Linked DNA regions of Tamandua tetradactyla. The protein of the gene in region 2 purifies or fractionates together with the protein of the main gene of each other region. This does not show direct contact. Links are inferred from orthologs where the notes say so. Each region holds a gene or a part of one and is shown on either strand. Other genes may lie near its edges.

Evidence for each region.
Region 1: the proteins of PPME1 (region 2) and PPP2R2A purify together in Homo sapiens (affinity purification with mass spectrometry; 3 studies listed by BioGRID and IntAct, with this or other methods). This does not show direct contact. The link is inferred for Tamandua tetradactyla from reciprocal best matches to the Homo sapiens genes PPME1 and PPP2R2A.
Region 3: the proteins of PPME1 (region 2) and PPP2R2D purify together in Homo sapiens (affinity purification with mass spectrometry; 4 studies listed by BioGRID and IntAct, counting the BioPlex papers as one, with this or other methods). This does not show direct contact. The link is inferred for Tamandua tetradactyla from reciprocal best matches to the Homo sapiens genes PPME1 and PPP2R2D.
Region 4: the proteins of PPME1 (region 2) and PPP4C purify together in Homo sapiens (affinity purification with mass spectrometry; 3 studies listed by BioGRID and IntAct, with this or other methods). This does not show direct contact. The link is inferred for Tamandua tetradactyla from reciprocal best matches to the Homo sapiens genes PPME1 and PPP4C.

What each region holds. Positions count from the first base shown.
Region 1 is NC_135329.1:27,162,835-27,170,526, forward strand, and holds the start of PPP2R2A (serine/threonine-protein phosphatase 2A 55 kDa regulatory subunit B alpha isoform), read left to right. Parts: upstream 1-4,685; 5' UTR 4,686-4,689; coding exon 4,690-4,726; intron 4,727-5,152; coding exon 5,153-5,227; intron 5,228-7,692. UniProt on the Homo sapiens protein: Substrate-recognition subunit of protein phosphatase 2A (PP2A) that plays a key role in cell cycle by controlling mitosis entry and exit. Involved in chromosome clustering during late mitosis by mediating dephosphorylation of MKI67.
Region 2 is NC_135334.1:71,570,747-71,578,722, reverse strand, and holds the start of PPME1 (protein phosphatase methylesterase 1), read left to right. Parts: upstream 1-4,975; 5' UTR 4,976-5,153; coding exon 5,154-5,254; exon of another isoform or gene 5,255-5,344; intron 5,345-7,976. Other genes in the region: C2CD3 (C2 domain-containing protein 3), read right to left, coding at 411-568, 3,748-4,017, 4,767-4,836. UniProt on the Homo sapiens protein: Demethylates proteins that have been reversibly carboxymethylated. Demethylates PPP2CB (in vitro) and PPP2CA. Binding to PPP2CA displaces the manganese ion and inactivates the enzyme.
Region 3 is NC_135339.1:94,499,206-94,506,898, reverse strand, and holds the start of PPP2R2D (serine/threonine-protein phosphatase 2A 55 kDa regulatory subunit B delta isoform), read right to left. Parts: upstream 3,010-7,693; 5' UTR 2,983-3,009; coding exon 2,976-2,982; intron 2,894-2,975; coding exon 2,801-2,893; intron 1-2,800. UniProt on the Homo sapiens protein: Substrate-recognition subunit of protein phosphatase 2A (PP2A) that plays a key role in cell cycle by controlling mitosis entry and exit. Involved in chromosome clustering during late mitosis by mediating dephosphorylation of MKI67.
Region 4 is NC_135349.1:24,611,603-24,619,299, reverse strand, and holds the start of PPP4C (serine/threonine-protein phosphatase 4 catalytic subunit), read right to left. Parts: upstream 3,010-7,697; 5' UTR 2,914-3,009; exon of another isoform or gene 2,875-2,913; intron 2,646-2,874; 5' UTR 2,583-2,645; coding exon 2,485-2,582; intron 2,407-2,484; exon of another isoform or gene 1-2,406. Other genes in the region: ALDOA (fructose-bisphosphate aldolase A), read right to left, coding at 5,188-5,283, 5,385-5,584, 5,706-5,880, 5,975-6,058, 6,368-6,528, 6,645-6,699, 7,153-7,364, 7,456-7,588. UniProt on the Homo sapiens protein: Protein phosphatase that is involved in many processes such as microtubule organization at centrosomes, maturation of spliceosomal snRNPs, apoptosis, DNA repair, tumor necrosis factor (TNF)-alpha signaling, activation of c-Jun N-terminal kinase MAPK8, regulation of histone acetylation, DNA damage checkpoint signaling, NF-kappa-B activation and cell migration.

The DNA.
Region 1 (7,692 bases), on a different chromosome or scaffold from region 2:
CTTCCTTCCAGAGTAAAGAAGGGTTAAGTGAAACATTTATGACATGGCAAACTTTAGTGATCCAACATTTCGGTGGTTTTATTCCCAAGCCTGAGAGATTAATTCATTCATCCGTTCATCTATCAAATTATGTGGCTGGTGATGTGGAGATGTTTAAAGCATACTTCTTGCCCTCAAAGAACTCAGTCTAGTAGCACACAGACACAATTAGGTAATTAAAATATGATCTTGTAAGAGAGCAGGCATTAGATTTTATGAAAATATTTAGGAAGGGCACCCAACCCAGCTCTTGGTGGGTAGGCAATGGGGGAAAATAAAAGAGAAGCCTTCCTGGAGGAAGTTATATCTGAATTGGATTTTAAAGAATTATGAGTTTTATTAGTTGAGAAATGAAAAAGGGATGGGTGTGTCAGAGTGTTGGGGTGAGTGGATGGTGGTGTTCCAGGGAAAGGGACAACATTAGCCAAGGTAGAGAGGAGATATTTGAAATGCTTTTGGACATCTGTGGAAATGTCAAGAAGGCAGTTAGAGGTATGTCTAGAGTTCTGGGATGAGGATGGGGCAGGAGATCTAGATTTAGCAGTTACTGGTGTACATGAAGTTGGTGTAAATAAAATTGCCCCCAGAGAGTGTGTGCTTAGAGAAGGGAACCCCAGACAGAGGCCAGGGTGACAAATCACCCTAATATTTAGAGGATGGGCTGGGAAGAGGGGCCAGCAAAGGAAACTGAGCGGGGTGGCTAGAAAGACTGGGGGGAAACCAATAATATATCAAGAGAAAAAAAAACAGTCACAAGTAAGAAAGGAGTGATCCACCATTTCAAATGCTGTTGGAAAGTAGAAAAAGATAAAACAGAAAAAGGTAAAAAAACAGAAAACTATTGGCTTTGGTAACGTGGAGATCATGACCTTGACAGTGAAGTGATGGGGATGTAAGCCCGAGTGCAAAGGATGGAAGAGAGAATGTAGATAAGTAAGGGGAAACTGCCAAGAGCAAACCTTAACCTTGGGCTAGTGGGTATTCTGGCCTCTTTTCCTAAGAAGAAAAGGAAGCAGCTTGTGGTCCTCCATAGGGATTACTCAGTGTCAAAAAGTGCCAGGTCACTTATATCAGAGTGCCAGAGTGTACTGACCCTTGATAATTAGATCCATCTCAATTCATCCCATATTCATATAGTAACCTTGAAATTCTATGTAATATTCTTAGAACAGTGGCCAGCATATAGTTAGTTACTATATGAATTTTTGTTATAATTAGCCCTCTTCCCAGGCAAGATTTATTGGTTTCTAAGAAATTATTTACATTGACCAAATCATTTTCAGGGTCTTACCCATGGCAAAAACTGGAGCATAAAGAAGAAAAGTGACTTTATTACAAGAATCTCAGTCCTGTTTAGTGGTCAATTCCCTTACACTTTCTCTCCCTGAGAGTTCTGGTTAAGATGGCGATCTAGAGGAGTCTGGGCTTGAACTACCAAACAAAGGCAGAGAAAACAAAAAGGAAAACTAAGGGTACTGGCATATCCAGAGAAATACATTATGAAATCAATCGCTATAGAAGTAAACAGATATAGAGTGGATTTCAATTTTGGGTTTGTTTGTTGATAAAGTGAGAAATAATGTAGAATTGGAGGGGGCATAATATGTTCCATCTGAAGGACTTTTGGAAACTTGTTTTACAATTGAACCTTTTAGGAAACCAAGAATAAGGTAGGAGGTGGAAAAGCTGGGGAGGAGGTGTAAATATATTAATCTTCCTCTCTTTCTTTGTCTAGGAATGCCTTATCACTCCATTCAGCCTTAAGGTCAGAGTTTTAATGTTTTTGTAGGTGTTTTTCATATGTAAAATGCGGATCTGTCTCTTACAGGATTATTGCAGAGATCAAGTGAGATATGTAAAGTACCTGGCTGGTTACTGCATCATTAGGGTGTCTTTGACCAAACTGCACATCCCTTCTTGGCTGATGACCTGCTACTTTTCCAGCGTGTTCTTTTCCCCTTTCTACCTCTTAACAATATTGAAGACGCTTTCAAGACAAATCTAATAATAATGGCAGCTATCATTATTGTTTACCGTTTACTCAGTTAAACCATTTAGTCTCCAAAACATTATTATATGATAGAATTGTTATCCCGATACCACCTAGTCAGTATTTGTACCCAGGCAGCCACTCTACAGGGCCCAGTTATCTTAACTATTGATTCTATTACTTTTGCTGTACAGACCTGGGTCACTTTTCTGGCCATATTCTGCTACTAGCAAACTCAGAAACTACTCTTCTAGCTTTCAGCTTCCGAAAAGGACTCGTGCCTTAGTTCCTGGGGCCCATGCGAAGGTAATTTAATTCACCCAGATGGAGCCGGTCCAGTTGCCTCTTTCTCAGACTCGCGAATTTTCACCTTGGTTGTGCAGCGCGTCTGCTTTATGTCATCGTCCCTTTATTTCACTGACTTCAGGATTAAGCCACAGTCTTACTCTCTTAAGTAGCAACACGAGTATTTTCAAAAAAGATATAATACACTCAAGAACCCCTCCAAACCCTGCGAGTGAGCACGTGAAGCGGACAGCTGAGCCGGCCCCAGAGTCCCCGCACCCAGGCTCCTTTCACTGATCCATTCCTGAAAGTCGCGTGGGCTTCGGAAACGGTGGTGTGCAATGGGCTGCGGTTTGAGTAGTCTACGCAAAACCAGCCGGAGCGGGAGACTGGTAAGAGCCGGCGGAGGGAGCGCCGCAAGGGAACCACCATACCAGCAGCGCGTGTGCCAGGGCGCCGGGCAGGCGGGGACGCTGCGGGCGGGGAAGGACCCAGGCGCTTGAGGGGCGGGACAGGGGAGAGAGCCGGGAGACCAAGAGGGCGTGGCCGGGAGCCAGCCCGGCCGCTCCCCTGCCCCTCCCCCGCTCCTCTCCAGTGCTCACCCCGCCCCGCTCCGCCCCTTGGGCTGAGCCCCGGGCTCCACCCGCCGAGTGACGTCACTTGCCAGGCCAGCCGGCGCCATTTTGAAAGTGGAGTCGCCTGCCCCTGCCGCTGCTTCCGCCGCCGCCGCCGCCGCTGGAGAAAGAGCAAGAGCCGGGAAGCTTCAGAGTGAAATCCACCATCCTGCTGGCTGGTCTGCCCGCCCCTTCTTCCTTCTCCCCCAACCCCCGCCCCTTCCCCCACAGGTGCTATCCGCTGCCATCCGCCCTCTCTACCCCCCCATCCCCAGGTGAGGGGGGTGAGTTCAGGAAGCAGAGACCCCGAGGAACCCAGCAGGGTCACCATTTGCAGCGCAACATGGCAGGTAAAGGAGAAATCACCCTCGCCCACTGACAAGCAACCGCTTCCTCCTCCTTCCTCCCTCCATCACCCCCTAGCGACTGCCTGGGTTTCATAGAGCCACGGAGTGCTCTTCGGTTTTCTGGGAATTGGTCAAGTTGGGGTGGGGTGGGGGTGGGGAGGGTTCTGGTGAGGCGAGTCGTGGCTGTGCTACCACACTGGCTTTTAAAATAAGGGCTGGAACCCTTGCATGGGGGGTGGGTGCGCTCGGCCAGCAATGGGGTAAGGCGTGGGTGGGGTGGGGCGGGGTGGGGGCGAGTGCAGATTTGTCCGTACTGCTTTGGTGTCCGGTGTATCCTCCACCACCACCACCACCCCCATCCCCCAGGGCTTTTTTTGTATGGCTCTTCCTTCATTTAATTCTATTTCTCCCCCTGCAAACCTTCTTGGTTGGGTGTATATACAATTATATTTTGCACAGGAGAGGTAGAGTGGTTTAGAAGTCAAAATACAATGGGAACATACGTGCGTTTTTCTCCTGTGGGTACGTAAATTTTTGAGACCAATGCTCAATTTTTTACCTTGAACCATCTCCCTTTTGAATCTTAACCCTTTAAGGCCTTTAATATGGCAGGTTGCATGAAAAATGTAATTTAAACTTTCCGTTTTGCTTGTTAGCTTTTGTGCAGATGTCCTTTCCCCAAAAGGGTTTCATAGAGTTAGTTAAAATAGTGATGGAGTTCAGTGATATAAATAGCAAAAGGGAAAGATATTTGGGTTAAAGCTTGGGGAAAAAAAGAATGTATGGGGAAAACCAGGTTGGAATATTTAGTGAGGAATGGGAGTGAAGGAAGAGAGAGGTAATTGCTTGGAGGATTATTTTTGTACTTTTTAAAATTTTTGTGCTGCCAAATAACTTCATCTAATAGAATCAGTTCTAGATCTAGATTTTCTTACTCTATGCATGCAAGACATTTTCATGATTTTCTTCTCGGTGCTTGGAAGTGAAATAGAACTATTCAGGAACTCAACCAGTTTTTCCACACTTTTTTTTCAATGTGAGATAGTTAAACCTTTCAAAAAGTTTTAAAAATATTGGATCAGCTTGCATTTGCCATAGACAAGTTGCCCTTTGGCTTCGTTGAATAGTAAAATGAAATTAAAATTGTTTTGCACAAGATGATGACAAAATAGAAAAATAAAATCCTTCATAAGATCCTTTAGATTTTGAAGGATAAACTAAAGGGGGGAGGAAAAACAAACTTCCTTTGACAAGTAAAACAGCATTCATTTCGGTTTCTTTTCCTCTCTCTGTCTGGAGCCAGTGATTTGCTGGTAATGAAATGCAGAGAAATGGGTGGTGAGTGTTGTGTTTGCTGTGTGTGCGCTTTGGTGATAGGGTTCATATGAATCATTTACTTCTCACCCAGGCGGTAATGTTCCTGAAGTTTTCTCTTCGTTCTATGTTTCATGGTAGTTTAAACTTATTTACTTTCCTGCAGGCTTTTGGTACTCTTAAAGAAAAACTATTAAGCTTTTGGTATTTACTTTTTTCTGGTAGGTCATGCTTAAATGTAAAGCTTTTACTGCATTTTAGGGGAAGGGAAAAATGGAAGGAAGTTTGGAACACATGTACAATGTTAATGTTTGTACATGCCTTTAAATATTTCTTACCCGAAAGCTCTTTTTTCCTCCTCCTTTTTTTGAAAGCAATGTTATAACCAACTATTGGGGACTGATCTTTTTCCAAATTAGTACTGTGGAGTGGTGGTTATGTGTGTGGGCAGTACTAGGCTATTAGAATCATGCCAATCATGGATACCATCTCTGTGTTTATGAGAGTAAACATGAACAGAATTCTGTTTTAATTGGTATGTTTTTGTTGTTGTTGTTTTCCAGGAGCTGGAGGAGGGAATGATATTCAGTGGTGTTTTTCTCAGGTGAAAGGAGCAGTAGAAGATGATGTAGCAGAAGGTAAGAAAGTGTTTAGTAATGCAAAACTTGAGTATAGAATTTTTTCAAATCTTGTTTACTGAAGGATTTCCTTGAAGCTGAGTCTGTAATAGTTTAAGAACATTTCGTGTTTATTGTCTGAGAAATGGGAGAACAATTTTAAAAGTTACCTTTCGAGAAAATAGTCTTGACTCTTTAACACCTTTTTTGTTTTTTTATGCCTTGTTTTGTTATTATTTTCCTGAATTAAATGAAAGGAGCAAAAAATAAATAAATAAATGAAAGGAGCAGTAGATGATGATGTATGTAAAACCATCACAAGAAAAATCTAAGGTTCCTAGGATAAAGGTTTCCTTGCTATATACATTCTACATACAAATAAATGGTTTTAATGTTTGTACCTTGTTTTTAGATAATTAAGTTGAAATAGGTGCTTTCACCGGTTAGCTCAGAACATTATTGACAGCAGCTTTTATTTTTGTGGAAAGATTTTTAGGTTTTTTTGAACTTGGCAGTGTGGTGTTGGTTGGGATAGTCTATGAAGAAATTCTGGCTCACAGTATGCATTTTATTGTCTTGTAGAGATTAATTTAGGTGGATAAGAAAATAGCATTATGAATATATATCTGGTCTTTTGGGGAACTTATGTTTTTGTGCAGTTAGAAATTGGGCTTGATCAGTTGAAGAACTTAAGTCTCATATCCCTTTCCCACCCCCCAGAATTGTATATTAATGTATTTCAAAAATTTTAATGTTTTTGCTCTCAATCAGGAGATGGCCTTAGGCAGCGGCAGTGGAAACATTATTTCCCATTAAGTAGTTGCATTACTTTATCATCAAGAACCATTATATAAAGTTTGAATCTTAATAGTATTTGGAAATAGTATCTTACAGTAGGAATTTTCCAACAAAATTCGGTTAAATAGAAACGTACTTAACTTTAAAAAAATTTGTCTAGTGAAAATTTATACCTCTTCATTGTCTTGGTTGTATTGTCCTCAATTAAGATCATATTTCTGACCCACAATCTAGCATGTTGGGTTTGGTGGTAGGTAGATGACTTTATGTTGAGCCAGCTTTGTATTTGCTTGTGTTACTATAATTTTTAATGAAGTTTCTGATCAGAGTTTTGTGAAACCTGTGGGATGTCAACTGGCATATGTTATACCAGTAAGACTTGACAGAACACCCTCATATTTCTTTCCTGTTGTATCCTCACCTGTTTTTCAAATGAGAAACCAGCAGCTTACAGAAGTTGAGAAGCTCACCAGTAGGCCCACAAATATGTACTGTGTTTCTGGCTAAGTCTGTGGTGTTTGACTTGTTCAGAAAAATAAATCCTAAGTTCATGGGAGGAGTCATGTGTTACTCATTTTGTAACTCCATTACCTGTTGAATAGTAGGCGCTCAAATATTGGATCGTTAGTTCTGTGCTATTGTGTAATAGCCACCAAGTTAAGAAAGTGCTGTATACTTAAAGACATTCCTTCATTCAATTCCATTATCAGGTTCTAGTGGGGGCCTCCTAAGTGCTGAGCCCTGGGAGTATAAGGCATCTTGAACAAAAACCCTCCCCTTTGGGGGTTATAATTTACTTAAACATTAGGCAGAAAGACCACATGGATTTTATTTTCAATCAGAAGGAACTGATGTTCTAAATTTACCAAATTGAATCAAATGATGGTTTGTGATATATATGGTGGGTCAGTCGTAGTTCTCTTATACTTGCTGTATTTTGCTACTGATTCTTTAAATAATGAATTTCTTTTGAGTTTGTTAAGTATTATTTTAATATTCAGTGCGCTCTTGGCATCCTAAAAAAGCTGAGGCTTGTTATGTCTGTTTTAATCAAAACAGTGATTTGTCCTAGTACGTATGTCTGTACAAGTGGATTAAAGATAGAGAGCATCCAGTTTTCAAATTATGCTGCTTTATTTGCAGTAATTTTGCATACTATGATTTGTATTCCATAGTCTGTTGTTTATTTTACTAAAGGAATACTTGCTGTTTCGAAATAAGTAGGATTATTACTACGTATTTCCCCATTGGTTTAGATTATAATTTTTAAAGAGCTGATGTCTAGCTCATCCTTAAGCATAGCTTTTGCATATTCTGTTAATGATTTATATCCGTTTCTTTCCTGGTAAAGGCTCCAAGTTGTCTCTCTCTATCCATGTACTGTCCACTGCCAAGTCTATGTTTTTTTACACCATCAGTGCTTTCATTCTCTTTCTGTACCTACTTTCATTCTAGCTCAGGTTCTCAGTATCTCATCTGGATTACAGTAATTTCTTCCATGATTTGCTGATTCTTGTCCTATGTTTTCCTTCTGGGGTTAAGTACTGTCCCAATTTGGTCTTCTCAGAAATCTTCAGTTATCCACTGAATTTTGAATTAAGTTCAAACATGTAGTAAGACCACAGTGTGACCTTTCACCAACATGGCCTGTACTGCTTTAAGTTTATTTGCCAGTATGGTTTACTGTC
Region 2 (7,976 bases):
AAGATAGCTCTTATTTGATCCAAACAAGCATTTATAGTTTGGCACTATGTTAGCCTCTCAAGGAATCTATAAATTAATTAAATACACAATGTTGGAGAACATGCAGGTTTTTAATTAGAGTAGTGATTATGTAATTTTTTACATAATCTAATGGTTTTGTGAATTTAATAGACAGTGCAATAGGAATTGAGGGCTCCTGAAATTTGAAATGGATAGTAAAGTGCTAAGAGGATCTGGATTAAGTGGGGAGAAAGGAAGGTTATAGACTCTGAGGAAAACATGAACAAAGGCATTAAAGTAGGAATTAGCATTGTATCTGGGAGTCATGTACACAACCATTCTACAGACTGACTCAACTATTTCTGCCCTCCAATTTTATTCTAAGCAGCAAAGAATTAGAATATGTTTACCTGAAGTTCTCCAAGTTTCTTAGATATTGATGAAATAATGGTAAAAAATCCACTGATTTGATGGGTTGGAGAAAGCTGGGCTAATCCACCGATCTGAACTCTACCAACTGGAAGATGATCAAGTTTGGTGATTACTTCCAGCACCAGCACAGCCATATCTAATCAAAAACAAGTACAACTTATTGATTCCATATATACATTATATTTCATTTACTTTTATTGGCATACATTGGAAAATTTTTCTTATTTTAAAAACATTCTTTTATTTTCAAATAAAACAGTCACTTACCATACCATTCTGGGTTGGGGGAATTTTGATCTTGAACCCAAAATGAAAAGAACAATAAAGTTTTACAGATACCTCATACTGAGAAAAAATGTTACACTGAATGAAAATATTTAGCATAAGGAAAATTACGTTGAAAGAGTATTTTAAAATTTATTTTTCAAGAACATAGGTTCAGTTTTGAAATATAAAAGCACCAAATCTCAGTTCTTTCATTCTCATCATTTCTGGTTTTGAATTAGACAAAGGGCTGCTCTTGCACAGCTGTAAGGGCTGCTCCCTGCCTCCCAGGGGGTCTAACTACTTACTTCTCGGTTATATCTGATCTCTGAGATCAGATTCCCCTGGTTATCAGAGCCCTTGGAATTAAGAAGAATGGAACTTAACTGTATCCTTCAATTAGTCCCTTAGATCTAATACCTTCATGGCCATAATTCACAGCAAGAGAAATATGATGTATGTATATATGTAATCTAAGATCGTTTCAGGGCAGTATAGCTTCTAAATATTTTCCTACCAAGACTTTACATTTTTAGAAGACATGCACCTACAATGTGCCATATACAGGTGAATCATTTTACAGACATTTTTTCATTTAATCTCCACAACAATCCTTACAAGGTAAGTGTTATTACCCTCAATTAACAAATGTGAAACTGAGGCTACAAGGTCTTACGGAATCTCTAACATCACTTGGCTTTCCAGTCCTAGAAACAAAGTCCAAATTCTGGACTGTTTGACTTCAAAGCCCATGTTCTTCCCATTCAACCAGGTTGCTTCTTCATGAAAAACGTTAGATGGTGAAAGGGCAGCTATTTGATCCCATTTTACAGATTTTTCAGAAATGCAAAGGAACTTGCCCAAAGCCCTACAGGTGTTGTTCAGATGCCAGGTCCCATTCTTCATTATACCACATGATGCACAAATAAATATCTGACCTCTTGTCTTTCATTTTAATAATATCTTCACTCTTACTGAAGAATTTCTAATCATACTTCTTTGTTAAATTATATAAAAATACCACCTGAGGACTTAAGGTTTAGGTTTACGGCAAAACAATGTAAATTTAACATTCCCTTAATCATTCTTGTTAGCTAAATGTGAGCAAAAGAATACGGCTAAGCAAGCAACAGAGAAAGTCTATGAAACTTCTTCAGAAGAGCTAATGAAACCAAATGGCTGGCATAAAAATGAAGTTAAATACTTACTGTAGCTATCAGTCCAAAATAAAAAACTAAAAACATGCTGCAAAAATAAGAACACCTAATAGCAAACCAAAGGAGAATAGGGGGAGAGAGTTTACTTTATTCCATTGCTATTTTTCCTTCATCATATCTCAAGATTGCCTTCTATTGTTTGTTGTTTAGTTCAGGTATCTGAACTAAAGAGTTATTACATTTCACTTGGTTCAGTGCAACAGTCTAAGTGATCCTTTTTTTCTTTTTTTTTTTACATGGGCAGGCACCGGGAATCGAACCCGGGCCCTCTGGCATGGCAGGCGAGCATTCTTGTCTGCCACTGTGGCCTGCCCTCTAAGTGATCTTTTTGCCTTTAGTCTCTCCCCTCCAATTCACCTGCTGAAAGTCACACTAACCATCCTAAAATGCAGGTTACTTTTAAAATAAAAAATATTTAGTGATTCTTCACTGGATATAAAGTCCAAAATCCTTAGCTTGGCTACTGAAGTCCTTTCACATATGGTCCCAAGCCAACTTTCCAATTTCATCTTGTCTCATCTTCCTCCACAGTCCTTACACTTTAGTCATTAAACTTCTCATTGCATCCAAAACAACCCTCATATTTCCATGTCTTCAAGTTTCTGCTAAGACCCAGATTAAATAGCATCTTCCCCATGAATCTTCATTACATCTTCATTTTAGGAAGGAATAGTTCACTCCTATACATTTTACACTCCTTTATGTGAGTGAAATTTTCCCAGTATGTTATTTATACTTCCTTAGTAGCAGTGGTCACTTTCCATCTACTCTTATAACTAAACATTTCTGTGAATTTAGTTAAAACTGGATACTTTCCTGATTCATTTTTGTATGCATCTAGCACAATGTCTAGCACAGAGAAAGTGTTCAAGATATTCGTTAAATAACTGAATTATGGCATTTACTTGTTCTTTATATATATATATATATATATATATTTTTTTTTTTTTTTTTTTTTTTTTGCACGAGCAGGCACTGGGAATCAAACCCAGGTCTCCGGCATGGCAGGTGAGAACTCTGCCTGCTGAGCCACCGTGGTCCACCCTGTTCTTTATTTTTTACTTTAATATTTTTTTAAAAAAATTTCTTGATAGATATAGCTATTTAAGGCATTGTTAATTTCTAATTTGCCTCTGACAATCCAGTTTTCCTAGCCTAAGAGCATTTATATGATAAATATTCAATTTTTATTGACTTGAATGGTATTGATTTGATAAATAACCCCACTATCCAAAATGTGTTTACTTAACCCAAATAAAGGATTTACACTGTATATCTAGAATGCTTTCTTGTACCAAAATGAAGAAATCTTGTCTTCCTGGATCCATACAGAGGGATCCTTCCCTCCTCTGAAAATCTGTATTACTAACTTGCCAAACCATTCATTTGACATGTATTACCTTGTAGTATTAGTAAATTTTATATCTATATCTTCTTTCCACAGACATAATGTAAGCCCAGATAGAGACTACAGCTATTACCTGAAGAAGTATGGTGTACAGAAAAGAGCATGAGTTTTGGTGTCACAGAAGTGGGTTCAAATCCCAGCTCTGTTATTTATCAACTATGTGACCTTACAGAGTATTTATTTCACCCTCTGATTCAGTTTGTCTATAAAACAGAAATTACCTATCTTGCAGGATTTTTGTAAGGATTAAAAATTATATGTATAAACTGCCACGATATCATACACAATCAAAAGTGGTTACTATCAAACCTCTTTGACTCCTCAATGTGTCCAGCACATATTAGGTACACAATAACACTTATCGCTAAGAACATAAAGGAATGCTTCTTGTTAGACTACTAGTGAAATGATAAGAAAAAAATATACCTGTTAGATAAGAGTTAAACTGCTTTGGACCACAGCGAATAGCATAACGTGTAGTTGTTCTCACAGCTTTTGGTTCAGTCTGCAAAGTATCCCGTGGACAAAAGAGGGTTCCATCTGATGTTTCTCCCCACCATCTCACTCGGACAAGTACACAAGTGGGAGGCTTTGCAATCTTCCATATGACTTTATTAACAGTAAGTTTCAGAAAGCAGCGTAGCTGACCTTCAACCAGAGGTGGTAGGCTTGTAGATGGAGAAATGTCACTCAAACCTGTAGAAGAATCCAAGAACACTGAGTTAAGGGACTTGCTTTGTGCTAGTCCTTGGGAATCCAATAATGTATAAAATGTGGTCATTGCCCATTAGGATCACGGACACAGTTTAGGTGTCTTCCAGTCCCATGCGGCAATCCAAAATTATACCTCTCCCCTCACTTTCAACTTTATCTTCAACAACAGTCCTGTAATTTTTGTTCCTATTCCCTAGAGGGGAGAGGAAACCTTGTAGCCCTCACTCCGCCCCATCTGGTTCCCCGTTTTGCCACTCCCGTCCTCCAGCCCCTATTTCCTTTCCATTCTTTGAAGAGTCAAGTGCCCTCTCCTTTAACCTTCTGGTTCCCTGGTTATTCGCCCTTCTCCGTCCCTTAATCTATAGGGGGGGAAGGGGCGAGATAGCTGTGTCTTCCACCTTGCTCCCCCAACGCCCACCCTGTTAAGCTTTCTCTGGTTACCTCTTTTCTTGCGGCCACGGCCGCCCCCGAGCCCCGGAGTTTTTCGTTGTTTCATGGCGACCGCGAGCTTCACCAACTTAACTACAGCCCCGGCACCAAAGCCGTACCCTTGGCCCCACCATCCCTTCCAGAGCGCCCGCGTCCCCTGGCAACTGGTGCCGCTGGGAAGCCTGGGAAGCAGGAACAAGTGACTCTTCCTCTAACAGTCAGTAGGAACCGGTTAGAAGAGAAGGCGCCAAGTCGCCTTCTAGACAATAGACTACAACACCCAGGATACTTTGCTACTATACCTCTTTGGGGTATGAGGCTGTCATCTCCAGCTGCGCAAGCGCAAAGGTAGAGCCCCTTTGAGGACTCCATTGCCCAGAATGCATTGCCCTTAGGAGCGCTCCTCTTTCCAGCGAGGGTTGTAGAGTTCTCCACTTCGGGTCCGAGAGATGCGCACACTCTGTTACCCAGCTTCCTTTGTGGGAGGGCTGTTGCGCACTTCCGGCGGAGGCGCTGAAGAAAGGGGGTGGGGTTTTCGAAGCCGGTGGGCGGTGGGCGGTACTGCCGGTAGCTGGGGGCTGTCCAAAGGCGACAGGGCGTCGCTAGGGCAGCGAACTGTGATCGGTTGGGCAGCACGTAGCGTGGGACGAAAGCTTGGCTGCTGTTTGACTACGTGCGGCCTTCCCTTCATGTCGGCCCTAGAGAAGAGTATGCACCTCGGCCGCCTGCCTTCTCGCCCTCCCTTACCGGGCAGCGGGGGCAGTCAGAGCGGAGCCAAAATGCGAATGGGGTACGTGACCCGTGCCTCTTCTCCCTCGAGTCTGGGCTGCGGCCATTGGAGAATGGTGTTTCTGAGCGTTTAGAACTGCACGGAGGGGAGGTAAATGATAGGAAAGAAGGTTGGTGGCTGCCTGGGAGAGATATGTATGGAGTAGAAAGCAGATTTGGGGTTAGGGGAGGTGCCAAGTCGATGGAAATTGGAGGACACCATCAGAAAAAGGCTTGAAGGAAATTTGGGCTCTTAGTAGTGTTGAAGGGAAATGGGGAATGAAGCAAAGATTGGGGAAGCCAAGATGATAATTTAAAGGAGGTAGGAGGAACCTCTAGAAGAAGGGATGAAGGAAGTTTGAGAAAAAGGAATAGAGCAATGATAGAGGTAGGGGGAGATCTGCTAGGGCATGTTGAGGGAAATGGGAATGACTGAGAAAAAAGTTGAAGGGAATTAGGGGAACCACAAAGGAAAGGTTTCAGAGGAGTAAGACCTGTGAGAACAGAATCTTACAAAAGCAGAGGGGAGTAGGGAACGCTTGAGTAGATTTGGAGACGCAAAGAGGAGAGTCAGAGAACAGAAGGTTCTAGAGTTCCCAGAGGTATAAGAGGCAGATTCAGAGAATGAGGGGTGACTAGGAGATTATGTCTCCTAAGGAAGAATTGAGAAACCTTGGGGAATAGGCCTAAGGAAAGATGGAGAACAGCCAGGAAGACTGTTAAGTGTAATAAGAATGTGCTGAGAAGCTGGTGGGAATAAGGGAAGAAAAGGGAAAGGGCTGAATTGCTGAGAAAGTGACCATGGGCTTGAGGGATTGAGAAATAATTTGGAATAGTGTTTGGTAAATGAAAGTGGTGCAGAGGCAAAATCTGGGAAGCCTGAGGAGGAATATTTGGGTATGATATATACTGGGCAGATAGGTCTGAGAGAATCCATGTACTGATCTGATAAGACTCAGTGAATTAGTGAAGCATTGGGAGTAGCCGCTTAAAGTTTTTATGGGGAAAAATATATTGGAAAGGGAGGAGTTGTGTTGAAAGAACAGGCTTTGGAATTTTAGGTTGTTGAATGGCTTGTGCCAGATTTGGGGATACTTAGGCATAGGAGAGAGAATATAAGTTGAAGATGGGAAAAGAAATTGCTGGAAAGCAGAGGGAATTGAATAGGCAGTTGGGATTGAGGGGTGTTTGTAGTATCAGGCAGGATTCTGGGGACTATTGACTAAAGAGAATAGGAGTAGGAAGATTACTTAGGTATGTGGTAGTCAGGAATATGTTTGGGACTGCAGAGATGGGTTGGTAGATATTCGGGAAATAAGGACTAGTGAAGAGAAGCCTTATGGTCTAAAAAAGTAATAATGTACAAAAATTGCTCAGAACAGGGAGGAGGATGGAAGATGCCGTAATGTAAAAATAAGTTCTAAGAATGAAGTGAAAGGAGAATTCTGTAAACTAAAACAGTACAATAGAGGAGGTGATGGGAGTGATTAAATAAACTAGGGAAGGAAATTAAGAATTGAAGTGATGGCTTGTGAGTTACAGTAGAAGAAATGAGAAAACGTTGAGAAGACAAGGTAGATTGTGGCTACATAAACCTGTAAGATAAAATGAGAATTGTTTTGGCATTGGAATAAAGAAAGGTAATACTGTAACATAAATAAAAGGATCTGGAAACTGATCTGTAACAGATTATTTAAGAGAATTAACCTGGAGTAAAATTAATGTGGCATTTATCGATCTGTATCTTAATTGCCTTTCTAAAACTAAAATTTGAACTTATCATTAGCCTTTGTCTGTATAAAACTAAATAATGAGCAATTATCATTTTAATAACTATATAGTCTTTAGGCAAATGTAATTAGAGTTCAGCTCCTCACTTTGTCAAAAAAAAGTTCTCTGATAAAAAAGTATTTGCAAAGTACCATTGGTGGTCTGGGGAGAAAGGAGTAAATATTCAACTTCCCCATTTGGAGAATTTCTAATATTCTAGCAAGCAGTGGGGACAACCAAATCAGTAGGCTGAGCCCTCGATCTTGAGGTTCGCCCCTGTGAAACTTATTCCTGCAAAGGATAGGCTAAGCTTAATTAAAATTAGGCGTAAGAGTCACCCCCCAGAGATCCTCTTTTGTTGCTCAGATGATGCCTCTCTCTCTTAAGCCAGCTCAGCAGGTGAATTCACTGCCCTCCCCACTGTGTGGGACATGACTTCCAGGGGTGTAAATCTTCCTGGCAACATGAAACAGAACTCCCAGAATGAGCCAGAACCCGACATCAAGGGATTGAGAAAGGCTTCTTGATCAAAAGAGGGAAGAGAGAAATGAGACAAACTAAAGTGTTAGTGGCTGAGAGATTTCAGAGTCAAGAGGTTATCCTGAAGGTTATTCTTATTCATTCAATAAGAAGGTTATTCTTATTCATATAAGAATAAGAATATTCTTATTCTTATTCATTCAGTACACCTTTTTAGTTTATGGTGTATTGGAGTGGCTGGAGGGAAGTACCTGAAACTGTTGAACTGTGTTCCTGTAGCCTTGATTCTTTTTTTTAACTTTTTTATTGTATAGTATAACATATACAAAGCAAAGAAATAAAAAAGCAATAGTTTTCAAAGCTCTCTTCAAAAAAGTGGTTACAGAATAGATCCCAGAGTTTGTCATGGGCTACCATACAATCCTCTCATATTTTTCCTTCTAGCTGCTCCAGAATATAGGAGGGTAGCAGGCTTAAATACTTTTTTATCATCA
Region 3 (7,693 bases), on a different chromosome or scaffold from region 2:
TTCCAGGCAGTCCGATGACTGATGACCAGAGGCCTGTCACCACTGTCAGTCAACATTCTTGCTGCCAGCAGGACAATTACTAACCTTCTTTAAGCCCTGATCTCCTCCTAATTACAGAGAGAGAGAGATGGGAAAACAATGATCTCACACACAGCATTACTGACTCTTAGCACTAAGGCTGACCTGACCCACAGAAAAACCCAATTCTTAAAAAAAACAAGCCAAAAAATACATTTTACACAGTCCAATACTTTCATCAGGAGTTATGATTAAAGAACCTAGAAATTACTAGTTTTAAAAACAAAAAGGAAACCAAAACCAAAAGCCTCTTTCCTTTTTATTCATTCCACAACCTTCAAAGTCAAAAGTGCTTACTTTTAACCCCTATTCCCCATCCTCTCTAAGAGCTGTTGTTATCAAAAGAAGAAACGGACCCAAGCCTCAATGTCCCTTGGACTTTCTTCTTCATACCTATCCATCACAGGGAGACGCAGAAAGACAGTCTAAAGTGTAAGATTAAGGTCGAACTCTGGGGAGTAGTTTGAACCAGAACAAAACCTCAAGAGCAAAATACCTCACAAACCACAAATAAATTTTACTACACCTTCAATTGTTCAGTGAAAGTTGCAGCCTCTCCTGAATCACTCATTTCCTATTAATTTCCTCTAATGAAAATTTCTTTCACTTCAAGGTTGAGTTTGAGACACAAATTCTGCAAATCACATTACCCAACTTTCTAATGATTGCTTTTTCCTTCATCACTAACTTCTATGGTAATAATGCAATTCAAACTAGTAATATCAAAACCATTTGACAAAATGGTAGTGATAAATGTGTTAACCGCAATCAGTTACTCAAGTTAAACATATGGATTAAAACAGAAAGCTTCAAACACATACATTAATTTAAAAAGTGGGTCATCACCACAAGCAATTTAGAAAAAGTCAACAACCTGAATTATAAAACTTTTAGAGAATTAAAAATAAGGGTTTGAAATTGCAAAAACTTCCGATCAGTTTAATTTAGAGAACAAAACATTTTTGTAATGATTTTTAAAGAGAATAATGCCATTTTTGAGATGTCACATTCAAAAATGTCACATTCAAAAAAAAATACACACGCACACTCTACAAGGACATGGGCTTTATGGGGAACGCGAGGGCGGCACGAGAGACTCCCAGGTTCCACACCCCCACATAAGACTCTGAGCCTTGGCCCGCGGAACGCTAAAGTCACATTTAATTTTAATTCATTCAGCTTGGTGAAAAAGCTTCTAAATGAGAAAGAAATGGGAACTTAGAGCAGGCATGAAGACTCCTCACACACACACATACTCCTTCCTCCTGAGATAAGTCACTACTTCATTCCAGTGAGGCTCAGCTCTCACTCACCTGGCACATGCAAAATGAAACAAAAAGAACAACTATGTCCAATTAATATAAAAGAAACAGAATCTTCAATAAATTAGTTATGTTATATAAAATCACCTAGCTTCAGCTTCAAGTCCTATACATCTTTACAAATTTCTTTGAGGAGAGTTTCCTGCTTACTAATACAGGCACTGACGTCTCCCGGGGCCAAGGATCTCCAGATGTCCTCAGGGTCATGCGTCAAACTAAACCCTGCCGGGGAGAGATACAGGGTGCAGGGGGAAAGGTTACTCAAATGGCCAAGGTGGAGGAAAGCTGACAAGACATCTGACCAGTTTCTTAGGGGAGGGAAGATGTACCTGGGGCAAAGCACTAGCCAAGGTAAATCACTTTTAAGAGAAGAGTGAAAGTGCACAATGTTCAGCAAGATGACCGAACACGACACAAAGTGCCCTGGCTTTAAACCTGAAACAGAGTCTCTAAGAATCACTTCTACATCCAACTGTGTTTAAGCACACATGTTGCGTGCATACACACGCACTCTACAAGGACACGGGCTTTATGGGGAACGCGAGGGCGGCACGAGAGACTCCCAGGTCCCACACCCCACCTAAGACTCTGAGCCTTGGCCCGCGGAACGCAAAGCTCAGGAAAGACATGCCCACGGAAGCCAATGCCCTGAGGTTCAAGACTGGCTCTGCGGTAAGGACACTCAAAATCCAAGAACGTGAGAAGCTCAGAAAGGACCTGAGAGCTCGGTAGCCAAGCTTCCTTTCTGAAGATGAAGAAAGCGAGGCAGAAACCCTGGCGAGGACAGCCCGGGGGTTCGCACAGGGCTTGGGCCTGGAACCGAGACCCCCGACCAGGCACCCACTCCCCCGGCACCGCCGCTCCGCATCTTTCCGCCGGAACAGAGACCCCAAACGGACTCCTCGACGCCCCAGTTCCTGCCTTTACGTCCTCGGCTCCACGAACGCAGAGGCCGGCACTGACACGGCAGACCACCGGGAACGGGTTGGGAGGACGCGGGTTCTCGCCCAGCTCCACCCTGCCCGGCTCGGCGACCTCGGTACCTACATAAGCCCTCAGGCCAGCCGCGTCCATGCCCTCCCGCCCGCGAGCACGACACGTCGGCGAGCCGCGCCGCGCCACGTTCCCCGGAGGCTTCCCGCCGCCGCCGCCAGCTCCGCGGCCCCGGCCGGGCCCACCCGACTCGGACGCGGGCCCACGCGCGGCCAGCCCAGCCCCCGGCCGGCCCGAGCGCGCAGCGACGTCCCGGGACGCCCGGGCCCACAGGGTCGCCGAGCAGACGCGCCGCGGTGCCGCCCGGAGCCAGGGCGCGCTCGGGACAGCGCCTGCCGGGCCACGAGGCGCGGCGGCCGGCCGAGGGCAGGAGGGCCCGGGGCGCGCCCCACGCGCGGGCGCCTTACCTTCGGCCACGTCCTCGTCGATGGCTCCCTTGACCTGCGAGAAGCACCACTGGAAGTCGTTGCCGCCCGCGGGGCAGCAGCCGCCGCCGGCTCCTGCAAACACACAACCCGGCGCGTCAGGCGGGCCGCGGCCCCCGCCCCGGACTCGCCCCCGGCCGCGGCGCGGGCCTCTCACCTGCCATAGCCGGCGGGCGGCGGGCGCGCTGAGGCGGCGGCGGGGGCGGCGCGTCGGCCGCGCCGACTGCGGCTGACGGGAGGAGGCGGCCGCCGCGCTGCTGCCGCCCTGGAATCTCAGCCCCGGCCGCCCAGCCGCCGCCGCCGCCGCCGCCTCCGCCGCCGCCGGGAAGTGATTTTTTTTTTTCCCTTTTCAAAATGGCGCCCAATGCCCGTCGCCCCGCTCGATGACGTCATCCCTCCTCCGAGCGCGCCGCGGGCGGGGGGCGGAGCTGTCCGGGGAGGGCGCCCCCGGCGCGGGGGCGGGGCCGGCACGGCCGCGGGGGCTGTCGGGGGCGCTTCGCGCTCCGACGGCGCCTGCGCACAATCCACCGCGGGCCGCAAGCCGTGCCCCGCCCCCTAGCCTAGGGCCACGGCTCCGCCCAGGGCCGGAAAAAGGGACTCCTCAGTGCCGTGGGCCGGGTTCTTGCCCGTCGGGTTTCTTGGCGTCTGGGGTGACCTAGTGCTTGGGACTCAGTGACAGGTGCTCCCTGGAAGACCATCAGTAGGGCCGCCGCCGGCCTCCTGGCTCTCTCAGAGGGATGTTAGAGAGCGCGAAGCTCTATCCCCAGGGACTTGGCGGGTGGGCCCGGGTGGTGGCCGCGACTCTAGCCCCCGGGCTTCTCCAGAGGGCGCGCCCGCCCGGCAGTGCTTCACGCACGGCCCCGCCCCTGCCGGGCCTCGGCCAATGGAGGCGTGGTCCTTCCGCGAGCCCCGCCCGAGATGCCTCGCCTCTACCCGGGCCCCGCCCCTTCTGGGTCTCGGCCAATGGAAACGCAGTACTTCCGCGAGCACCGCCCCACATGTCTCGCCTCTACCTGGGCTCCGCCCCTTCCGGGCCTCGGCCAATGGGAACGCGGTCCTTCCGCGAACCCCGCGGCGGCGTAGGTCAGGGCTGCCAAGTGCCGCGCAGGTCAGCGGCTCTCGGCCGGCTGACCCCCCTCTTGGACTCGCCCCACTGCGAGCTGACCCCCTTTAAGCTGACTCCCTCCCCGGGCCCTACCCCGCCGGCCGGCTCTGCGCGTCCTGCTGTCTGAGCACGCGGAGCAGGGACCGTCCCGGTCCTGGGAGCCTGGGAGCGCGGGCTCGCTGCTGTCCGACTCTGGGGGACTCCCAGGCGCGGGGAGCCCTCGCCTACCAGCAGCAGGAAAACTTTCGGCGTTGGGTGGCCACGGTGGCTTAAGTTGCAGAGTTCTCGCCTCCCATGCCGGAGACCCGGGTTCGGTCCTCGTGCCTGCCCATGTGAAAAAAAAATTTTTTTTCGGCGTTGGACCTCCGCTGGGCTCATCTTTTTTCCTAGCGGGCTTGCTTTCAGAGGCCCAGGGACAGGTCACCGCCACTTAGGAGATTTTCGGCAAGCGAAGCCGTAACTGCCCTCGGGGTCGCCATGGAGTCGCAGTGGCTGCCTCACCCTTCTGGAGGCCGAATGTGGGGATCCCCGCGGAGGTGTTCCGAGCAGTTCCGGCGGGTACGCGGGAGGTGGTGCGCTAGCCGGGGGTCAGTGAGGAACACAGCGGGTAATGGAGAAAGAAAAATGTAGAAGTCAGACCGTGTTACATAGCAAAGTACTGAAAAAAAAGGGTGTGCGTAGAAGAAAAAGGCAATTTTTATCAGGGTGTGTATTCCTTTTCAAGAACCACTACAGTGGTTCTCTTTGCCTTGCTGGGTGTCCAGGCCGAGGCTGCAGGTCACCTGCTCAGGCCCTGGGTGCCTTTCCATCCTGCTCCGGTGGTGGGGGCCTGCTCCCCTCCCCCATTCTCCAGAGTTCGTTACCTGCTGAGCTGTGTGGGACTCCGAGAGCATCGGGTCCGCAGAGTCATGGCCCCCAAACGCGGGTGCCCTGGTCCCCAGGAGTCTGTGGATTATCCACCTCATGTGGCAAGGGGGACTTTGCTGCTGTAACTCCACAGCCCTCAATATGGGGGGGGGTTTCCCTGGCTGACCCAGGTGGGCCCAGTGTGATCAAAAGAGCACTTAGGAGAAGAGCCCTTCCTCCAGCAGGGTTGGCGAGACAGCGATGGGAACTGCAGGGGAGTCCGAGCCCCCTTGCTGAGCCCGCTTCTGGGAAGGCCTGGGGTGGGGGAGGCAAGCCACCTCGGGGGGCCAAGGCAGCTGGCACGGAGACCTCAGGCCACGGCCAGCAGCGAGACCAGGTCCTGCCAACTGCTTGCAAGGGTTTGGAAGCAGGCTTCATCCCAGGGCTCCAGAAAGGACTCCAGCTCAGGGGACCTCTTGATTTCGTCCCATGAGCTGCTCAGTGGGGAACTGGCTGCCATGGGGTCCCCGGCCTCTGACCTACAGAACCATGAGGTGACAAACGGGTGCTCTTTCCAACCCGGAGGCCTGGGGTCCTTTGTCACGGCAGGAGTAGAAAGCGAATGCGAGTGCTTATGCAGAAACAGGTGTGCTTGGGTTGCTCATCTTGCTGGCCTTCGCCATCCTGGGGACTGGGCTTTTAGTTCAGTCACTGACTGAGTGTCACCTGCCTAGTATTTGCGTGGCAGGGCCATGGAGCCACGTCTGGGGGCCCGTGGGGGCAGGTATGGGGGAGAGCCCACCTGTGCTCCCCACTGCCTCTGCTCCCAGGGGTCCCACGAGCACCCACAGAGCACTTTGCCTGCTTTCACCCAGTGCTCAGGAGATCCCACAAGCAGATAAGGAAGCGATTTGCCCAAGGCTGCATGACTGCTCAGAACCACAGCCCAGGTCTGCCCTCAAGGCCAGGCCCCTCAACCTCGAGACCGGAGGTTGTAAAACGTGAAGTAAGGTAGGACCCAGCCTCTAGGGGAGAACCTGCACTTGTATATTTATGGAAAGGGCAGGTGGTCCAGGCAGGCTGCTCATCCTAATGCCTGGGGCCTGGGTGGGGAGAGCGCTCTCAGTGGACTTGGAGACGTCCTGCGGTTGCTTTGTACCCCCCATCCCAATTCGATTTTGTGGGGCCCATGGCGGCCCGCAGCCCTGCTCTGTCCTGCATGCCCCTCCCCTTTCCCTCTGCCCTCAGAGCAGCTTCAAGGACCTCGCAAGGACCAGCCTTCCTCCTGCCAGTTCCCCAGCCCGCCCTAACCGGGTTTTGGCGTTCTCTTCCTCTTGGGGAAAACCGGATACCTAATAGCATTGCCTTCCAGAAGTCCATTCAAAGGCAGCCAGGGTGGGAGGTATCTCCATGTGGAGCCGGGAACAGAGGGTTGCCAGGTGGGAGCGCTGTGCCCCCGTTGTCCCCCTGGATTTTCTCCTATCGGGCAGGGACTTCCTTTCCCCAAGGGCAGCCCTCAGGTCAGAACCAAAGAACGGACCACCGAAGCGTGCTGGTGGAAGCTGTGGTGTGCCCCAGAAGAGCCGCATTCTTTAATCTACATTGAATATTGCTGGGTCGGAGCTTTTTAATTATCCATAGAGATGTGACCCACCCAACTGTGGGTGGTAACTTTTGATGAGGTGGTTTCCATGGAGAAGTGTCTCTACCCATTCAAGGTGGGGTTGCTTCCTGGAGCCCTTTAAGAGGGAATCATTTTGGAAAAAGCTTTAGAGGCACCAGAACCAACAGAGCCCACAGAACAGGCAGAGCCCCGGGAAGCCACTGAAGGGAAAGCCAGCAGATCTCGCCATGGACCTTTCCAGCTGAGAGAGAAACCCTGAACATCATCAGCCTTCCTGACCCAGGTGTCTTCCCCTGATGCCTTAATTTGTACATCTGCATAGGCTGACTTTAATTTGGACATTTTTACAACCTTAGAACTGTAAACTTGCTATTTAATAAATTCCCTTTTTTAAAAGCCGGTTCATTTCTGGTCTATCACATTCTGGCAGCTTCTTTGAACTAGAACACCAAGTCCTCACTCTTGGGTTAAATGTGCAAATGATGAAGCACAGGTGTAGGAGGGAAATGGGGCAGCCACTAGCCAGGGCAGCCTCCCCAGGCTTCCCAGGCCTGGGAGGACAGCAGACGCTGGGTGCAGTCAGGGTCTTCCACCTCCCTGGCTGTCTGCAGCCCACCCACGGCCCCCACGGATGACTGCATCCTAGTTCCTGGGACTGGTGAATGTGGGAACAGGAGGGAGCTGCGGGTGAGGTTAAGTGAAGGGTCCGAGATGGAGGTGATACTGGACCTAGGGCAAGTCTGAGGGCATCACAGTGGTCCTTAGAAGCGGGGGCCGGGACCAGAGCTTGTAGTTTGTAGGCACACCTGTGCATGTGCACAGTTTGTAGGTCCACGTGTGTGTATGTATGTGTGTGTGCATAGCATTTGGTGTGCGTGTGTGTGCATGTGCATAGTTTGTAAGTACATGTGTGTACGTGTGCATAATTTGTAAGTGTACGTGTGTGTGTGCACGTACATAGTTTGTAGGTGCACGTGTGTGTATGCATGTTTGTGCATAGTTTATAAGAGCACTTGTATGTATGCGTGTGCATAGTTTGTAGGGGCACGTATGTGGATGTGTGCACGTGCATGGTTTGTAGTGCACGTGTGTGTGTGTATGTGTGTGTGGATAGCTTGCAGGTACACGTGTGTGGATGTGTGAGCATAGTTTGTAGGTGCACGTGTGTGGGGGTGTGTGCACAGGCACATTTTGTAGGTTCACGTGTGTGTATGTGTGTGTGCATAGTTTGTAGGTGCACGTGTGTGTATGTCTGTGTTTGCATAGTTTGTAAGTGCACGTATCTGCAGTAGATGTGTGT
Region 4 (7,697 bases), on a different chromosome or scaffold from region 2:
GGAAGGTCCCTGCTTTCTGCAAAACTGTACCTGAGTGCCAGTGGGGTCCCAGCATGATCTGGTAACAAGGCCCAGGTTGCCTGTCACTTGCAGCACACCACCTGCCCTGGCATAGCTCCCACCTGCTTACCTTTATTTCCACTACTAACACTACCTTCTTTAAGTGCCCACCAATGTGTCAGGTCCTGTTGTTGGATATGTAGATCTCATTTGAGCCTTAAAATGAGCTCAAAGATTCAGAGAAGTGAAGTCATCAGGGTCACGTTGTTTATAGGTGGCAATGCTGGGATTCCAATCAAAGACTGCCAGATTCAAAAGCTTTTGCTAAATTCTTCTAAAAGGAGCTATTTCAGCTCAGGCACTGCAGGCCTCTCTGGATCCCAGGGTTTGAGTCTATGAATCCTCTGAGCAAGTGGAAGCCCTAGTGGGTCCCCACGAGGCCATGAACTAGATCCCAGAACTGGTCCTTCTTCAGACTGGGCCTGGGACAATGGTGGCCAACTCAGACGTCAGTATAGTTAGTACCTCCTAGTCCACTTCAGTTTCAAATGGTAGGACCCTTGCACCCACCAGACCTCCCTAGTTCTCTGCTGCCTCACACCCCACATCAAAGTCTAAATGTCTCTGCCAAGCTGTTGATGACTGAAAAGAACAGTCAGAGACCTAGATTCAAAACCAACATCCCTTCCAGTCAGCTTTGTAACCTTGGGCAAGACCTTGGACAATTTCCTCTTCCGTGAAGTGGAATAAATACTCATCCCTGCCCTGCCTTATCCATAAGGCTGCTGCAAGGAACAAAGAGAATGAAGGCATAATTTCTCATTTACTCTGAAAACTCTAGCATACTACCCAAGCATTAGCCCTTATCACCAGCACACTGATTCAGGCCCTGTGAAAACAAGACTGATCGGAAACGGAAAAGGGCCAGGCAGCAACTGGTTTAAGTTCCTAAAATGCCAGTAAGAACCGAGGAAGCTAAGACAACTAAAAACACTTTGAAGCTGGCCAAGTCAGGGCAATTTCCTTGAACTGACAAAGCACAGAGGAGTCAGAGACAGGCACTTATAAAGGGGCCTCGCCTGTTTACCAAACTCATGCAAACTTTGCCTGGCTGTAGAGGGTCTATGTGGGGCAAAAGGCCTATGTGAGGCAAAAAATCCAGCTCCGCCACTTCCTCAGTCAAATTACCTGGCCTCTAGGAATCTGGCTTCCTCTTCTGTAAAATGGAGCAAATAATTCCAACCTTACAAGCTGGCTGGGGGAAGATTGTTTTTTTTTTTTTCCTTCTTGCCAGTTCATGGCCAAACAGTGGGCTTGTAAATTTTCCAGCCTTGGGGAAGCCACAGTCAAACAGTTTCTTGGATAAGGCAGGTGATTAGTCTCCTCACTGTTGCGCACACATTTCAGGCCTCCATTCCTACTCTCATTGTGCTTGGAATGTCCTTCCTCCCTGGTCCTGCCCCATTGCTTACCCAAATTATCTTCATGCTTCAAGGCCTACCTTCACTTAGAAACCTTCCCTGATGACTTCAGCCAATGCCAGCACTGCCCTCGTCTAATATAGCAACAACAATAACACTTAATGATTGCCAAATATTTGCACTGGACCAAAGCACTATGCTAACTTCATACCACGCACCAACTCACTGAATCTTCACAACCAACTTATTAAGTACTATTATCCTCACTTCTCAGTTGGTGAAATGGAGTCTCAGAGAGCTCAAGACCACAAACACAGCTAGTAAGCAGCAGAGCTCAGATTCAAACCCAGAGCCATCATACTCCAAGGCCTCTGCTCTTAACCACCACACCATTCTACTTCCCATAAAACTCTGCGATGGGCCTCCCTCCATCCAGGGCTTAATTCTACTCTAGCTTATTTGCTGCAATTCTGAGGTCCTACCAATGAAAATGAGAGTTGGATGAAGTCCACCCCTTCTAGCATTATGGCCAGAAAAGGGACAGGACACAGAAAACTGATCTCGGATTCTAACCCCTACTTGCTGGTGAATTAACATGAGATTTCTCACTTGTAAACTGAAGACACCCACCTTTTATGGCTTGTTGGTGGAATTAAAAGAACTTTGTAAACCACAGAGTTTCTTGCTTTCCTGCCTTGACTCTTTGTTCTTGCTGACACTCCCTTTTATCTCATTTTTAAAGGCCTGCCCAAAGTACAGCTCCGCCAAGGAGTCTTCCCTGTTCCTCCCCAAAAGATGGGATTGTTGCTTTAAGCTTCCTGAATACTTTCCATAACTTCTCTTACTACTTTATAAAAATACATCATCTGATACTTTAAGTGTCTTTATTAAGGTGTGCCTCCCCCAGCAGGCTAGTGGCTCCTCGAGGAAAGGGGCGTTATACTGCTCCTCTCAGGGAACACTTCCTAGGTGGGCCAGGCCCAGAGTTCTCCGCTGGGCTTGCCCGGGGTCAGAACGTCCGAGTAGCGGCAAGACCTCCCCTCCCCGGGGCTAGCAGGCTTACCTAGCCTTGGCGCAGAGGGCCTTGACTTCGCTCTCCTTGATGAGCTCGCAGCGTCGCAGCTGCTCTATCTGCCGGTCCAGGTCGCTGATCTCCGCCATGGCCCACCCCCAGCGCGGGTCAGAGCCGGGGCCACTGCCCCCTCTGCACCGCACAGGGGTCCCCTGGGAAAGGTGAAGACGACCCCACAGATCTGAATGTCCGTACGGGGCGCCAGGGGCCAACGCGATTCTGAGGCTGGCCCGCCCCTTCCCCCCCCCTACCCGCCTCCCCTCACATCGGCTCCCAGAGACTCCCGACGTCCCGCGGCTCTGGCCGCACCGCCGCTAACTCCCGTCGAACCCCACAGGTCCCGCGCTAGGGACGTGGCCTGGAGGGGTCTCGGGCTATTACCGCCGCTGCGACTCCGGCTCCGGCTCTCAGGCTCTCTACCTTCCTCCTTCCCCCCGCTTTGGGCCGCCACTACCGCTGCTCCTACTTCCGGCCCCGCCGCGGAAGCAAAGGGAAGCTAGTTCCGGCGCGCGTCGGAAGTGGCGTCATATACACTCCTCCCTTCCGCGCCGCGCCCTTAACCACACCTCTCAAGCCTAAGAATGAAGTGAGCGGAGGGAGCTGGTTGTAGGTAACATGCGGACGGAAGTTGTGGACGGAAGTTGTGGACTAAACGGGCCGGTACTGGAGGGTGTTACAGACCTCAGGCCAGTTCCCTGCCGTTTCAGTTAGGGAAACTGAAGCTGAGCTGTGCTTAAACCTCTTAACTTCATGTTAAGTACTTTTGCCCATCTGTTGTAGTTTGCCTCGCCTACTACAATCCTTGAGGTATGGAATTTTGTCTTGTTTACCATTGTAGCCCTATGGGCCTGGCACATAGTAGGCATACATAAATATTTGTTCATGGCCGAAGGAATCTCAGTCCAATCCCCAGTCTCTTTTCATGGCCCGGGGGAAATCTTTGCCATCGGGACATCTACAGTTAGAGGCAGAAGAAAAGATCCACATTTCCCTCATCAAGCTAAAGACCTACCTCATTACAAAATAGGTCCCTTTACCTCACCTCAGTTACTTCCTATCTAAGGCAAGTTTTGTTCCTTTGTTAGGAGGAGGAAGCTGGCTCAAAGAACTAATTTGTTCATGGTTACATAGCTGAGAATTTGAGATTTGAATCAGGGTTGAAATTTGAACCCCAGAAAACTGTTCTCAAATCTAGTTTTTCCATTTTCTCAGAATTTACCATTTCTGTAGTTCAGTGAATCGTTATAAAATTCAGAAGTCCAGAATTTTCCAAACTCCCCTGACATTTGTAGTCCTCTGCTTCCCTTGTCTCTTTTGCTGGAGGCAGAGGAAGATACTCTAATCTAAGCCCACTCTCCACCTTTCCAGTCTCTCAGCCTTTACACATGCTGTTTTTTGAAGTGTCGTTTTTGCTTTCTTTCTACTTACCCTCAACTTTTATTTGCTTCAAGTTTTGTTTCCCAGAATTGAGGCTAGGCACAGAAATGAGGCCAAAGTTTGGAGGGCCACTAGGAGTGGATTTGATACATGAATGCAGGCAGTAGGTGCAAATGTGCACAGAAGGGAAGGACGAGGGTTCCTAGAAGGTACTAGGTAAGTCAGTTCTATGAGGATCATTGTGGGGATTTTTTAGGTCCAGAAAGGACAGAAAGGTCATGACCTTTTTCATGGATGGGAAGTTCAGACAGGAAAGAGTCCCTATCCAGAAAGGCTGGCAGTGAAAGAAGTTGCAGAAAATTTGGGAGGTGGCAGCAGGGCTATGTCTGTGGTTAGGATCTTTGGCAGTTCAGAAGAATCCAGTGTAGTTACTGTAGCATCCCAGCCTGGATGATTGAGGAAGAGTTCAGCGCATTGCATAGGGACAGCTTCAGGACCTTCCCTCTGGCCTCATGGACTGTGGCAGCTGCTGAGGTGCAGTTAACCTGGAACCTGGAGTACGTGTGCTGTCTGCATTGTTTAATTGAATGTTGGAGAGAATTCCAAATGCCTTCAGGGATTCCATGGCCCAAAGAGGACTAAGAATTTTAATTCCATCTCGCCCATAAAATGGGGCAATGGACCAGCCCCCTTATGGGGATATGCAGTAATAATCCTGTTTTCCCCGAAGAAACTTGTGTGATCTTAGGCAAGATGGCCGGGAATAGCAGTACCTACTCATCTACAGCACCTGCTACACTGTCTGGCTTTAAGCAGTTACTATTTTTCCACAGGGGCCTTGTGCACCCTGAGTTCTGGGCTGATACTGTGGCCTCTGGTGACTTGAGCAGTACATTTGCGCCCTTATCTGTGAGCCTTATCAGATGCTGCTGATAGAAATGGGTGGAGCATATAGTGGTTGGAGAATTTCACAAACTCTCTGTCTTCCTGAAAGCTCTGGGCAAGTATAAAACAAGGAAGGACACAAAAACAAGAGCTTTCTTCTTCAGGGCTCTGCCACCTTTGCAGGTTCCCCACTGCGCCAAACACCACGAGCACAGACAACAGAGTCCCCCTTAAATAGTTGTTTATTGGCAGTGGGCTGTAAAGGATGGAGTTAGCATATACAGACAACACCACACACCAAAGTCACAAGGGAGGCAAAAAAGTGATGGGAAAGAGCAGCCGGGAGCCCCAGATGAAGCCCCTCCTTGACAGTGAGTGTAGGAGGAAGCAGGGGCTTGGAGTGTTGAGGGGGCAACCTTAGAACACCTCTGCTTAGTAGGCATGGTTAGAGATGAAGAGGGACTCGCTGGCTGCGGTGCCGGTCTGGCCACTTGGGGTGTACTTTCCTTGGCAGGCAAGGCTGTTGGCCTAAAGGGGGAGAGAAACCAGAGTGAGAAGGCCTCAGGGAACCCAGCTTCTCAGAATCCCACCTACCCAGGTACCCTGTCTGCATCCTGCCCCATCCTTACCAGGGCTCGCTTGACATACTCTTCCTGGGCAGCCTTCAGGTTCTCCTTCTTCCCACCCCAGGCCTTCAGGGCAGAAGCCTGCAGGGCTCGGCCATAGGAGAAGGTCAGGGCCCATGGCTTCTGCAGGGGGCACTTGTTGATGGCGTTAAGGTTGATGGATGCCTCCTCTTCACTCTGGCCTCCAGATAGGAAGGTGACTCCTGCAGAACAAGGGTGAGACAGATAGGATCCCCAAGAAGCTGCCCTGAAGAACAGACCAGATGGGTATAAAGTCTGTGGGTATAAAGTACCCCCTTCCCAAGATGAAGTTGCACGCCTCACCAGGGACAGCAGGAGGCACTGTGCGGCGCAGTGCTGTGACAGTTGCTATGGCAATCTCCTCGTGAGAAAACTTCTGGGTGCAGGCATGGCCTGGGGTTACCATGTTGGGCTTCAGCAAAGTGCCTTCCAGGTAGACGTGGTGGTCACTCAGAGCCTTGTAAACAGCAGCCAGCACCTGGAGTAGGGCAGGGCCCAAGTTGGGTGGGGAGACGGGTCAGGTCAGGGCCCTGGCCCAGCTGCCCCACCCACCACAGCAAGCAGGAACCTACCTTCTCGGTTACATATTGACAGCGCCTCAAGTCATGGTCCCCGTCGGGGAGAATCTCTGGCTCCACGATGGGCACGATGCCATTCTGTTGGGTGGGAAGTGGGGTGAGGCCTCCTAAACCCAGGGTTCTGCCTCCAACCCCCCTGAAGTCACTGGCTGAGAGGAACTCCTGGCTTCAAGACCAACCTCATAAGCCTACTCTAGTCCTCTGCCTTGCAGAGCTTTCTGAGCATCTTCTGCTGGGCAAAGACAGAGACTGATTTGTTCCTAGAAAGTTCCAGGAACAGCTGCCTTGGGGGAGGAGGTAGGTATCCTGGCAGATGCGTAGCAGGCTAGCTGACAGCTTGGGGCCCAAGGAGGTGGGAGGTGGCTTACTGGGGACCCACAAGCCAACCTGCTGGCAGATGCTGGCATAACGGGCCAGCACATTGGCATTCTCCATAATGGCGAGGGAGGTGGGAGTATGCTCCCCGATCTTCAGCACACAGCGCCACTTGGCAAAGTCAGCTCCATCTTTCTTGTACTGGGCACAGCGCTCAGACAGCCCATCCAGCCCTGAAGGAGACAGAGGAATCAGAGCACAATGAGGGAGGAGCCACTTGGCCACTTACCCGCGGCCACCATGAAGGGTGACTATGGGTTAATAGAGTGAGGAGCCAAAGAGTTCTCACCTTGGGTGGTGGTCTCGCCATTTGTTCCTGCCAGGGGTACCACGCCCTTGTCTACCTGTTGGGGGAGGAGGGACAGCAAGATAAACAGGAAATGGTCTAGCACCCTTTTCTCCTCTGTAGCCCCAATCTGAACCCAACTTAATCTCTTAAACAGCACCTCATGGCTCACAAATATTTTTGCTTAGGTACAGTATCTAATCCTATGAGGCAAGATACATGGAGATGTTACCTGGCACAGACTGTTAACTGATTTGAGTTTCAGGAGGCCTGGGCCCTACCAGTTACTAACTCTGTAAGCAAAACACTTCACTTCCCTGACCCTCTGGTTTCTCATTTGTAAAACAGAGTAATCTCTCCCTCTGAGAATTGTGAGGGCTAAAAATGCCAGGCAGGTAACTGAAGTCCCTGGCTTTTCCTCTCCATCCTTTGAAGGTGATCTAGGACCCCACCTCAGTCCACAGAGTCCCAATCCGATGTCCGCCCCCACTTTGTTACCTTGCCCCCTCACCTTGATGCCTACAACACCACCCTTGGATTTAATGACTTGGGGGAAGGGACGTCCATCATCCGCCTTCTGGTAGAGCGTCTCATGGAAGAGGATGACACCACCAATGCAAGGGTTCACACGGTCATCGGCGGTCAGTAGCAGTTGACGGTAGAAGCGCCGGTTCTCCTCGGTGTTCTCGGTGCCAATGGATTGCAGCCGCTTGGCAATGCTTCCTGGAGGGGAGTGTCACCCGGGAAAATAAGAGGATAAGCCCGCCATTCCCAACTCTGGGCCCTCCTCCCTGGCTCTGCCTCCTGCCCATACCGGTAGACTCATCTGCAGCCAGGATGCCCTTGCCCGGAGCCACAATGCGTTTAGCGATGTCAGAGAGCTCCTTCTTTTGCTCCGGGGTCAGCGCTGGGTATGGGTAGGGCATGGTGGTGGTGGTGGTAAGTTCCTGGGCAGAGAAGAGAGATGGGGAGGACTAGTTAGTTGGATGTCCTCATGGTCTCCCAGTGAGCAGCGTCCCTTGCGTAGAGGTCAGGGCTAATGGGTTCCCTACCTCC